3 separate regions of the Mus musculus genome follow, and all the other regions are reported to be linked to region 1. Evidence: microRNA targets listed by miRTarBase, many of them from high-throughput screens and not tested one by one. Region 1 holds a microRNA gene; each other region holds the end of a gene's coding sequence.

Region 1 (4,241 bases):
CCCAGCCAAGAAGAATGACAGTTATTTTCCTCTGTGAAGAAGCATCAAGTGAATATAAAATTTAGTGTATTAGGAACAAAACTTCTTACTAAAACTGTAAAGCTTTACAATATGAATATCAGATAGTCAAGCATTCTTATTATAATGATGTAGTGGATGCATGAAACCCACAGGTTGGTAGACAACAAATAACCCCAGAAAAAGGAAGGTAGGGGTGGGAAGGAACCAGAGGACACATTTGAGACCCATGATAATTAGCTGGTTTCAACACTTCTGTGTCTTCATGTAGAATGCTACATGCTCTATAGGTCTGGAATTTCCACTTAAGATCACCCGCTTCTAAGTAAAGAAACTTCCAGGCAGTAAAATAATTAAAACTCATGACATTTTTACCAGTATGAGCACATCATACATTTTCTAGATAAAAGCATTTAGACATGATTAAGACTAATCTCACTAACTTACCTCAAGGATCCTGTGTGGTCAGTATGATCTTGCAACAGAGAAAATTATGGTTTAACTAAGAACACAGAAGTGACACCCATGCTGAAACCGCAAAAGTAACTTTTATTTTGAATATAATCTCTTTTCCATACAATATTTTGTCTTCTCTGAGTTGTAGACCTGATGGTAACTTTATTGTGGCTCCTTTAAGATGTTGGGTTTGCAGGCTTAGAAATCAGTAGCATTTGTTTATTCTTTGTTACTTATAAACCAGTGTTTCATCACAGCCATTCATGGCATGATTAAAATCTCATTATTTGACACTTCTGTTGCACAATAAGTCCAGGGTAGAGTCGCAAAGACATGACTTGAGGACTTGCAAACGTCAGGGTTTAGGGGTATGGTGAACAGAAATGAAGACGGGTGTCCCTTAAAGGACTTACAACCTGGTACAGTAAATCAAGCAGCAACTAAGCAAATGAACATGGACAGGTAGTGCCCAATGATTCTGACAAGTCAGAGCAGGGTCATGAGGTGAACGGTGGCTGGGCACATGTAAGGTTTTATAGACAGTGCCATGGTGAAAGAGTTCTCCACTGATGCCCAAAAGATAAGACAGGGCAGTAGAGGCGGGAATATTCCTGGTGCAGCCAAGAACATCCCCAAAAGGCCAGTGTGGCTAGAACAGAGCGAGTGATTCGGTATAGGACTGGAGAGAAGTCAGGGCGAGACAGACCAAGTCACAGGGCCCTACATATCATGGATGGCTTGTAGCAAGACAAGGAGGAACAGGACGGAGGTAGCCAAGCTGCTGTCAGACAGGAAAGATGGCAATATGTTGGCATAGCAGGTTCTCAGTTCAACAGCTATGCCAGCATCTTGCCTCCTCTCCAGTTCCGAGTTACAGGAGCAATACCATCCCTCTTCGTTGTTATGCTTTTCCACAATCTCTCCTTCCACCTGAGGAGAGAAAACACACCCATTAGTTGAAAACACAAGCTGTTTCCTAATGTAACAATGCAGTGGTCCTTAGAGTGTCCAATTTTGAAGGCAGTTATGCACAGGGAGGTTGTGGTTAAGTTCCTGTTTTAAATATTCCTTGAATAACATGGATCTCAAAATATTTGCTGCTTGTGAAATGACAAGGTGGTTCCGAAGTAAAATTAAGTCATAAACTGACAACGATGAATACAGCCATTTTCATAGTCCATAGGAGTGCAGTGACCTCTGTACAGTCTTGTGTATAGCATAATATTCTGCTTGGCTAATCTTGGCCATTTAGATGCCCCTTAATAATATTAAGCTGTCACCTCATGGGGTGTGGATGTGTCATTGCTCCATGAGCCCTTAAACATAAATCTCTTCAAGCCAAGAATTCTCAGAGTGGAATATTTTTCACAAATACAACTGAAAAAGTTCTTCGTTCAAAGATATTCACTACAATATTAGTCTTAATTGTTAAAGGCTAGAAAGATTATGAATGTCCATCGATATTACAGACACCAACTAAATGAATTATGATGTAGTTATAAAATATTCTTTCCTGGTCCTTATAGAAGATTAAGGCACAATAATGGCATTATATATGATAATTTCTGTGTAAAATGTATACCTAACAAGATTATGCTTATAACATTTTTCATGAAGGGTACAGAAGTGACAATTTTAGGTGATTTTATTATTTTACAGTAACTAGAATTATATATTACTTTTGTTTCCTGCTTTACTAGGTTTCTGTAAAACTATTACTTACAAGCAATGAGTAACAGTGCAACAGAGCTACAGCATTTACTCACTTGGATGTAGCTAACATCAACTGTGTTTCCTAGAAGCAAAAGTTGAGCATGACACATATAGTCACGCGGTGGAATACGTGAACTACGTGCAGCACCTTTTCTTGGTCAGCTAGGTTATGAAGGAGCTATTGCACAAGCCCCTCACTTTCTTGCCTGGAGTCAGGTAAAAGAGTGTAAAGATACTAATTGATGTAAGAATATTTAAGAGATGATACTCATTATTGTAAATATATCTAATAGTTCTTGGTTCACCCAGAACAGCACATGGTTCAAATATGAATGTCAAATGAATAGATTAAGTAACAAAATACAGCATAATATGAAGATTTCATGGAGCAGTTTCTCAAAAAAGAGAAAAGCTCATTTTTTTTTCATTTTCCTCACCTGTTATGCTTGTGATTAAGATGCAAACACAGGTTACATCGCTTTAGAAGGTACATGCTACACAATTAAAAACACCCTGTGACCTTTTTCAGATTCATTGTATCACATGGAAATTTCGGATTCAGGTTACACAGAAGCATGGCTGTGGGTGACTATTTGATTTACCAGAGACAGTAATTACCAGAGACAAGAATTATCGGAGAACTTACGGGCTATTTGATGAGGCTCATTTAGGGGAAAGATGGGGCAATACAGTAATTCGTCTCTCCCTCCTACTTCCTGTTCCCCTACTTTAAATGCCTCAATTTATAGTTCAAACGTTCAGAAGTAGATAGTTTTGTACCCCGTCTCAGTTTCTTTTCTGCTGCTGTGATAAAATAACCTCATATAGCTGAAGGGAGAAAGCGCTTCCGCTAGCTCGCAGTTCAAAGGGCAGTTCACCACGGCAGGGAGTCAAGGCAGTGTGCTGGGTGTGGGGTGGGGTGTCCAGGCTGACACAGCTGCTCACTCTGTGTCCATTGTCAGAACATACAGAGTTTCTCAACTCTCCTCTTTATGTGCAGGGATGTTCTCACATCAGTTAACGGAAACAAGATAATCCCACAGGCATTCCTATCACCTATCAGCCAGATGATGATATATTCTGTCCGTTGACAAGTCACTCTTACCATTACACTACCCCTGTAAAGAAAGTTGTTAGCATTGTTACACATTGTGGGTTGTTTTTTCATTTTAATATTTCTATGATACTAAATGAGTCAAGGATTCCAAGTGACTGCTGGTAATATATCCCCCTCGTGACATAAACTTCAAGCCTAATCATAATTACGTTACAACTAGAAAATAAAACAAGACAAAAAAATGGATTACAAATCCCTAATTGTAAACCCTTAGCAGTTAAAGTTGAATCATAAGAGCTGCTGGCAGTAAAACCCCTTGAGGTACATGGTCCATTTATAATTTTCATATCCTAAAAGGATTTTTTCTTTTGTGTCTCTTTATTAGTGTGAATATCCAAATAAAATCCAAACTAATTTTTACTTTGAAACTAGCAGTCTGTTTTCCTTTGTAAACACTGACTTGAGGCCACTCTAGAAACAGTGCTCACATGTCCTGGACACATGGGAGCAGGAGAGAGCTAGCTACACTGCTGTACTTCCTATGCAGAGATAAGGAAGGGAACCAACTCAACCATGGTGACTACAAAGCTGGCAGAGCCGCACACAGTGACTCTTTCTAGAACTGGAATATAGTTTATTCCAGTTTTAATGTTTAAAATAGTTGTCCTAAGAAAGCTGGTATGGGGAGTTGCAGATGATTATGGACGAAGAGCAGAATGTACTAGTTTTTAAGTACAGCATTATGGAAAAATTTGTGGTCCAATCAAGAACATAACTGTGGGGGGGGGGGGGAAGAACATTTACTGAATGTGTTGGGATTACTTGTGGGAACAGACAATTTCACAGGATGTGCTTAAAGCTACTCCCTAACTGATAGAAGTCAGATGTGTGTTGCCTTGCACCTGCTGGGCTGCAAAAAGGCATATGCACACACACACACACAGATATTGTGTGATATTATACACGCGTACATGTATCTGTAGGTTATAGTGGAAAA
Region 2 (4,241 bases), not on the chromosome of region 1:
ATTGGAACGCTGTTCATTGCGGCGGGTTTGGTGGCCTTATTCAAAATCCGGTCCAATCTTCAAAAAGACGGGACAAAGACAGACAAGTTGGAAAGGCTAATGGTCAAGATCGGGGTCTTCTCAGTACTGTACACGGTTCCTGCAACCTGTGTGATTGCCTGTTATTTCTATGAAATCTCAAACTGGGCACTCTTTCGATATTCTGCAGATGACTCAAACATGGCAGTTGAAATGTTGAAAATTTTTATGTCTTTGCTCGTGGGCATCACTTCAGGCATGTGGATTTGGTCTGCCAAAACTCTTCACACGTGGCAAAAGTGTTCTAACCGATTGGTGAATTCTGGGAAGGTAAAGAGAGAGAAGAGGGGGAATGGTTGGGTGAAGCCAGGAAAAGGCAACGAGACTGTGGTATAAGACTAGCCGGCTTCCTCGTTCCTCATTGTGAAGGAAGTGATGCAGGGAATCTCAGTTTGAACAAACTTAGAAACACTTCAGCCCACACACACCCACGTCAGCCCACCACCACTCACCCAACTCAGCATCAGAAGACCAATGGCTTCACTGCAGACTTTGGAATGGTCCAAAATGGAAAAGCCAGTTAGAGGTTTTCAAAGCTGTGAAAAATCAAAATGTTGATCACTTTAGCAGGTCACAGCTTGGAGTCCGTGGAGGTCCCGCCTAGATTCCTGAAGCCCAGGGTGATAGTGTTTGCTCCTACTGGGTGGGATTTCAACTGTGAGTTGATAACATGCAAGGAGAAAGATTAATTTTTAAAACCCTTTTAAATTTTAAATAGTAACTAGGTCTTGCAGATAGCAAAGTGATCTATAAACACTGGAAATGCTGGGTTGGGAGACGTGTTGCAGAGTTTTATAGTTTGGCTGGTCTAACATAAACATCTTCTGGCCTACACTGTCTGCTGTTTAGAACTCTGTAGCGCACTCCCAAGAGGTGGTGTCAAAATCCTTCAGTGCCTTTGTCGTAAAACAGAATTGTTTGAGCAAACAAAAGTACTGTACTAACACACGTAAGGTATCCAGTGGATTTCTCTCTCCTGAAATTTCAACATCCCTAATTCTAGGCAGCCCCTGTTTTCTTCACTTTAAACTAATGACTCAAAAAAAAAAAAGGTTATTTTTATAGGATTTTTTTTTTTTGCACTGCAGCATGCCTAATGAGAGGAAAAGGGAAGGTGATTCACTTTCTGACAATCACTTAATTCAGAGAAAAATGAGATTTGCTAAGTTGACTTACCTTACCGACCCTAGAGACCTATTGCATTAAGCAATGTTAAGCAATTGGGACTTAAAATATTTTAGTTTGTGTGATTGCATCTAGGCAGACGCCAGTCTGGAAGAACTGAAATGTTAAATTTCTTGGCAACTTTGCATTCACACAGATTAACTGTGTAATTTGTGTGTGTCAATTACAATTAAAAGCACATTCTTGGACCATGACATAGTATACTCAATTGACTTTAAAACTGTGGTCAACTTGCATTCTTAGTGTGATAGTGCCTTTCCCCCCTGTAGCATAAGAATGTTATCGGAGTTTGGTCTACTTGCCACAATGGAGACTTATTCAGCTTTGCAAAGGCAACTAAGGACAGCAGATCCAAATACGTGGTGCATAATTGTTCCTTAGTAATGGACAAAGGTTCTTATAAGATTTCACTGGAGGCAGTGTGGCCTGGAGTATTTATATGATGCCTAATGAACCTCCAGAATGCTGGCCAGAGGCTGGATTGGTTAGCAGGGGATATGGTGTAGACGGAGTGAAATGAGCTGCAAAGTCTAACAGCACGAGTCTTAATTGCCTTTGCTGGGGTATCCAAAGCCTTTAAAATTTATGCTTTAAGTCCCTCACAAGGGGGGTACCCGCTAGCAACCTATCAAAAGTTGAAGTTCTTTTAAAATTGTGACTGGCCTTTTTCTTAACCTGCCTTAGGCCTTTTAATCACCAGATCTCTGGGACAAAACATTGTACATGTCACAGGTTGCTCTCCTTGTATTTCATGCCTGTCTGCTTCAGCAACTTCAGTTATTTATTGATTCATGCTTTTAGTAAGAGAGCCCTTAATGTTTTGTCCAATCCTACTTTGTGGAGAAACATTTCATGGATTCCAAATCCCAAATAGGCAAATAGGTGTTCAAATTCTGGAAATATAAATTTTAAAAACTGGGTCTCTCTCTCTCTCTCTCTCTCTCTCTCTCTCTCTCTCTCTCTCTCTCTCTCAGTTTGAGCTTTGTTTCTGACTATATTTTCTCCCCACAGCTTTTGTTTTTGCAAGTTCTGTAGATATCTGATATCAAGATGCTATAGGCCTGTCGTGTGTTTGGAAATGAGAGGCTTGGGGCTGGTGAGATAGAGACCTCCGTGGACCTGGGTGGCCCCTGGTGATTTATGCAGCCTGAGTACCTAGACTGGACTAGGGCATAAGGCTCCAGGAGCAGGAGAACTGATCCATGGAAGGGCCAATTTAACTCCTGAATGAGCTGCCTATGAAAGGCGAAATGGACACGCCCTGCACTGCTTACAGACAGTTCCCATAGCTGTCCAGGGCCCTGGAGTGTGCACCCAAGGGCAGATTCTGCCCTTACTCACGCTCTGCTATGGTGTCTTGGGAGTTGTGCAGTGACTCTGGCACAGGAAAGGGATGAAAAGCAAGGCAGTAGTAGCTGACTAGCTTTGCTGTGCAGACTTTGTAATGCACTTCTCTTTGTAATGCTTCAGTGATTGTAGGTCCAAGACTGCAACCTCCAAAGAGAGAGCAGTAGGTGCTGAGCATGTATCAACAATAACCTTGGCAACCACAACCCTTTGGGTGAAACCAGCCACCTGCATTCTGGATCCTAGAGCTAGTGTACTGACAATTTTTCTATCTTCCCAGGCAATTTGCCTTTTTAGGGGAAGTTATGTTTGAGCGAAGGGGCCTGGCAGTTCAGACTGGCTTAATAGTCTTAGCAACAACACAGAGTTGTCTGGTCTTTCCTTTCCTATCTCAGATGGGGGAGAGTGATTCCAGTTTCCAGGAAACGAACTTGACGGCTGAGGAGTCCCTTAGCGATGCCCATTAAGCATCAGTATCACTTCTTCGCATCACTCCCACAAATCTCTTCCTAGGTCTCAGCCTCTCCTATGATGCCTTCTAAATTAATGACAGAAAGCACCAGCTTTGGTTCATGACAATCTCCATATAAACTCCCTAGGAAAACAGAGAGTAGACCCCCAAGGACCTGCTCCAGCATCTACTGTGGCTTTGGAAGTGGCAGGGTCAGGATTTGGGTTGTTCCATGGTACTCCCACAGACATATTTGAGGACAGCAGCATGCTGAGGGGAAAGTGAGGTTTGTTTCCCTTCCTCTGATATCTGGAATAAGTACATGTGATTGGAATTTTCAAGAAAAGTCCTCAAGCTCCAGATATTCTACTAAGCACAACTAAGGACACCTCTGTATAACCTCCTCTTTGACAAACTCCTTGGTCTTGCATCATAAAAGCCGAACCATAGGGCAGAGGAACTGCGTAGTGTAGAAGTGGCCAGAGCCACTGGCTGAGCTACTCAGCTGATCATATCTTTCTTCCTTTATGGTGACCCATTTCCTGGTTGCTGAGATGGCTGCTTAGCTGGCTTGGTGCCCAGAGGCCTGAAACAAGGGACAGGTGACACTGTTTCCTAAGAGTTCCCTTTCTGTCATTCTTTTACTTGTACCCTAACCTTTGTATCCCTAAAGCTAGAACCAGAGACTTATCGTTACCAGGTTCTGATCTGTGGTTCTATTTAACTCTTCCAGCTGTGTACTCAGCCCTGCACGCACAGAATTTAGTGACTTTGGTATTGAGTGCAAAGTTGGGCCATGGGACACTGTGATGAAGTTGACATCTTTAGTCCTCAAAGAACATGCACAATTGAAAGAGGTCTCACCCCTGTGATGTATCTGCTAAGGGTCCCATAGTGGCAGTTAAGAAGGGGAACCAAGAAGGAACAGACTTTGGCAGGGAGTGCTTAATGTGTAAATTCCATCCTGAGACAGAGGGCAATGGAGAGAGTTTCTGTCCCTGCCAGTCATGATGAGCCCCAGGACTTGGACAATGGTCTCTGTCTTCTTATTGTACTTGACTTCACAGTCCCTGTCTGAATTTGCAGTATGTCTGTCAAAGGACCCAGGTTATCATTTACCCTTCATGCCAAGGTCAAAGATCTTGGAACTCCTGCGAGAGCATTTTGCTCCTACAAATGA
Region 3 (4,241 bases), not on the chromosome of region 1:
ATGAGAGTATTTTGGCCACATGGTCATTTATGGAGCCACTGGTTCTGCCTGTCAAAGGAACGGGTCCTTAGCAAGGCTGGTGATTGACATATATTGCTCCCCACCCGGCTTCAGAATGCAGCCCAGTCTCAGCGGGCTGATCCAGCTGCAGGCTTTGAGCTCTCTAACTACAAGTTCAATGTGCTGTGCTCTGAAGCAAAGTTTTCTGGGCCTTTATAAGTAGTTATGTCCAGGGCCATGGCCTACATTTTGAGAAACTTCCTGCTGTTGGTTTTTACTCCACTGTGTGTCAGGAGCTGTTCTATCATTTAGACAAGGCTGAGAGTGCTGTAGAGTGATGGCTGCCACCGATGTTCCCTGTGTTCTTAAGTCACTCAAAGCGTGCCTCTCACCCTTGTTCAGAATGCAAAGTTCTCCTGTCTACCTGTCCGTCCGTCCATCTGTCTGCCTGCCTGCCTGCCTGTCTGTCAGTGTCTGCCTGCTGGCCTGCCTGTCTCTGTTTTTATCTCTGTGTCTGTCAGTGTGTGTGTGTGTGTGTGTGTGTGTGTGTGTGTGTGTGTGTGTGTGCACGGGAGTACGCTTCAGGAGCAACTTCAGCTGTCATTGTCAGGAGCTTCTGTGCCGCTGGTGTTCTGATTTTCCTCCACACATGCCCCATGAGCAAGGCCTGGCTTCTCAGGATCTGGTGGGGAAGCAGACTGTCACTGAAGCAAATATCAGGAACTAGCAAGAGTTACCGTCCGAGATGAGGTAATGGGGCTTTAGGCTGTTACGTCCTAATGTGCTCATTCAGGTCATTACCCAGGCATTAGCATCCACATCCTCTTCTGTGGAGCTCACTTCACAGACTCTCTTTTGATACTTCAAATCTTACTTCCCACACCACACTCCTTCCTTCTGTCTCCCCTCGCATTCTTCAGAGGCTCTAGAGAAAGGTGCAAGAGCTAAGCGCAGAGGAGGGAGGGAGGGGCAGGAGGAAGAAGCAGTGTTCTGTGGACTCACAGACTGATCTTCTTTCTCCTTTGGTTGACCTACCTAAAGTATGGCTTGGGGGGTGCTGGCCTCCAGACTTCCTCCCTTACCAGGGAGCAGATGTGTCTAGGAGATTGCACTGGCAGTTGTGCCATGTGTCTCACCACGTGCTGGGTCATCCCCATTAGCCTCCAAAAGCATTCTGGAAGCTTTTGCAGCCTCATCCTGCGATAGAAGAGCAGTTGAGTAAAATGAGGGAGATGTGGGCAGGCTGGGTGTGGCCATGCTCGGGGACTGTCCTCCTCACACTGAATTCCTGGAGGTTAGCAATAAAACAGGCTGGGCTTTCTTGGTACTGGGAGGGCCTCTACACCTTAACACCACAGCCTATTTACTGTTGATTCTGGTCAATTTCAATTGGGCCTAAGTCCTGTATGTGCAGCTCCAAATGATGGCCTCAGCAGTCACGGGACCTACATGATCCTACATCACAGCTGCAACTTATCACTCCAAACCAAGGATATGGAAAGGGAGGCCAAGGAGGGCTTCTGAAATAACTCCAGTACGCTTGCTCTCAACACTGACTTGATCAAGAGGGAGAGGGAAGAGGTAAGGAGAGAGAGGATGACCTTGAGGGCTAACCGGATCTCTAGCAGCCAGTGGCAAAGCTACCACTTTTTATACTGAGCTGATCCCTGCTGGAAACCAGCTGGAAGGTGCATTCTGCAGAAATGCAGGGGTCTAAGTGGTCCAAGGCAGGACAGGGTCTTTACCCTTTGTTTCTGCCACTCATGTCTGGGCTGGGAGGACCCAAAAGTGATGGATTGCTTGCTGGGCGTGGTGGTTCATAAATGTAATCTCAGCACTTGGGAGGCTGATAAAGCAGGAGAATCGCTGAGTTTGAGACTTGTGTGGGCTACATAATATATTCTATGCCAGCCTGAGTTGCTGAGTGAGATTGTTTCAAGAAAACAAAGTCCCCAGAAATCATAGTGATGGCCTCTATGCTCCTGGAGACCCAAGGAGGCCTCAGATGATCACCAAGCAATGTGCAGAACTCAAGCATAACCAGACGCTTCTTCAGTTAATAACTCCCCTGCCTCAGACAGTGCAGCGAGGGCACGCCTCGGGAGGCCACAGGGGCTGTATAGAGAGGAACATGGCTCTGTTCTGATGTTCTGGGTCTGTCTGGGGACCAGGAGGCGGCTTCTGGCACCTACAATGTTCCTAGCACCAGGTGCTTGGTGATGTGGTCCTGGGAGGCCATCTGGTGCAGGGGAAAGACCACTGGAAAGGGAATCAGGACCACTTTGCCTAGCTCTGCAGCAAACCATCGTAGTCATCGTGGCTACGCCGACAACAAGGTTGGAGTGGAACTTTTTCTGGAAGAAATTCCAAAAGGCTTCAGTAGCTCCTAAAGAAACCACACACCCTGTTTTTAAAGGATCTCCCACTATAAACTGAGTGACCTACTAACTCCTCTTTCAGAGCAGGTAGGATGCTGAGCCATCACTGTGTCTTCTGATCCTGTGACAGGGAGCCATCCACTTTCTCTGGGTTCCCATCTAGCCTTAAGGATGAAAAAGAACAGATTCTGTGTGAGGTCAGACAGGCACAATCCTCCTGCGTCCCTCTCCCCTGGGAACACAAGCTCTCTCCTCTGGATTCCTGCTGTTGGCTCTGTGGGTTTTCCTCTGTCCTGTTCTGAAAGGTCCCACTTGTTGCATAGGGTCTAGCTTCTTTCTATTGACATCAAGGTCACCATGAGGGCCAGCTGTGATGGGGGCCTTTGTCAGCCTACCCCCAGCAGGGATGGCATTAGTTAGCTTCAGGTGAGTAGTGGGCTCCCAGGCTGGGCTTCCCTATTTCTGTTTGCAAAACCACCATTAAAAAGTATTGCCTCTTGTGTTGCTGAGGTCCGACTATAATGTATGCATTTGATGAAGGTGAGTCAAGGCCTAGAAGAGGGCCTCTGCCCAAAGGCAAGCAAAATACTAATAAGACTGCAAAAACAAGCCACACAGACATCTCACTTGGTACCGGCGACAGGGGAGCAGGCATATGGTGGATGTAGTGATGCCTTGTCTGTCTAGAGGGCCCGTGTTGAGGAACCTAGGGGCTCCCAAGGCTACCATTCAGTCAGACAGCATTGGAATGTCATGGTCAAGGAGGGGGGAATGGCTGTAGATCATCAGTTCCTGCATCTTTAGGAAGCATATTTCCGTTGGGAACCAAGGCTGAGAAGGAGGGAACCAGAGAAAGGCTCCAGTGATCGAGTCTTCTTGCCTGCCTGCCTGTCTTCCAGCCTGGATAGGGGCTAGTCAGAGAAGAGACTGGCGAAGGACTTCCTCAGGTTGCGGATTGTCTCAGCCTTGGCCTCATCTTCACTTGGGGTCCCTCGATGGGAGGTATCTGATGTGCTGAGGCTGTTAGTCAGGGACTGAGATTTGCTGAAACAGAAAGCAAAAAGTTTGGGATGGTCAAGGCTGGAGCTCCCAAGGAAATGAGTCTGGGGCTGGCCCTGAAGCCTGCTGGCTGAGCACGGGGTCATTAAAAGATGGTGAGACCAGAAATCAGGCATTGCAGTGTGAACATGATGCTAGCCTAGAACTTGCAAGGTGCGTAGTATTGCCCTTCTTAGGTACAGAAATTGGGGTTCCTAGGGACAAGTATTTGGCTTAGATAGGCCTTCTAGCAAGAAGCAGGGAGCATGCACTGCTTATAAGCGTCCCTCCATCCCAGGTTGCTCTGTGTTTTGTGGGGCATGTCAGCCACAGTTGGATAGGCCAGACTCCAGTTTTCCCCTCAGATTTCCCAGAATTGGCTGAGAAGTCAGGCAGTTCCTGTTCTAGAGCTCTTGTCTCAGTTGAGGGTCCGTGGCAGTCCAGATCAGAGGTGTCCCTGAGCATGTCTGTGGAGAAGTGCCTTGCTTGTTGATAGATGCAGGAGGGTCCAGCCTCTGTAAGCAGCATCATTCACTGGACAGGTGGTTTTGGGCTGTGTGAGAAAGCTAGCTAAGCATGCGTCAGGGAGCACGTTTGCAAATAGCATTCTTCCATAGTTACTACGTCAAGTTCCTGGTCAAGTTTCTTTCCTGATTTCTCTCAATATGAACTGTGACCTGGAAGCCAAAACAGATCCCCTCCTCCCTACGTCTTTTAGAAAATCGTTTTTAAAAGCTTTTATTTATATTTTATGTGTATGTGTAGTTTGCATGCATGGATCTGTGTGCATCACATTCATGTAGTACTCATGGAGGCCAGGAGAGG

What was found. Region 1 holds the annotated microRNA mmu-miR-31-5p (AGGCAAGAUGCUGGCAUAGCUG, at 1,308-1,329, opposite strand). A microRNA usually pairs through its seed, bases 2 to 8, with sites in the 3' UTR of a target mRNA and lowers its output. Matches are read on the target gene's strand: a 7mer-m8 pairs with bases 2 to 8, a 7mer-A1 pairs with bases 2 to 7 and ends in A, and an 8mer does both.
Region 2: the mRNA of Fzd4 is a reported target of mmu-miR-31-5p. Seed matches in the 3' UTR shown: 7mer-A1 at 1,561-1,567.
Region 3: miRTarBase lists Syn3 as a target of mmu-miR-31-5p. The part of its 3' UTR that is shown has no 7-base or 8-base seed match.

What each region holds. Positions count from the first base shown.
Region 1 is chr4:88,909,307-88,913,547 of GRCm38, forward strand. It overlaps Mir31 (microRNA 31), which reads right to left and starts at 1,356; the gene lies at 1,251-1,356. Gm49890 (predicted gene, 49890) reads right to left here. Exons shown (of 3, transcript NR_132735.1): 3 at 548-1,404.
Region 2 is chr7:89,407,947-89,412,187 of GRCm38, forward strand. It overlaps Fzd4 (frizzled class receptor 4), which reads left to right. Exons shown (of 2, transcript NM_008055.4): 2 at 1-2,164. The coding sequence ends at 414. Among named protein-coding and RNA genes, the nearest start is that of Fzd4, 5.7 kb to the left of the region's middle.
Region 3 is chr10:86,052,243-86,056,483 of GRCm38, forward strand. Syn3 (synapsin III) reads right to left here. Exons shown (of 14, transcript NM_013722.3): 14 at 1-3,422. The coding sequence ends at 3,290. Among named protein-coding and RNA genes, the nearest start is that of Gm51812, 15 kb to the right of the region's middle.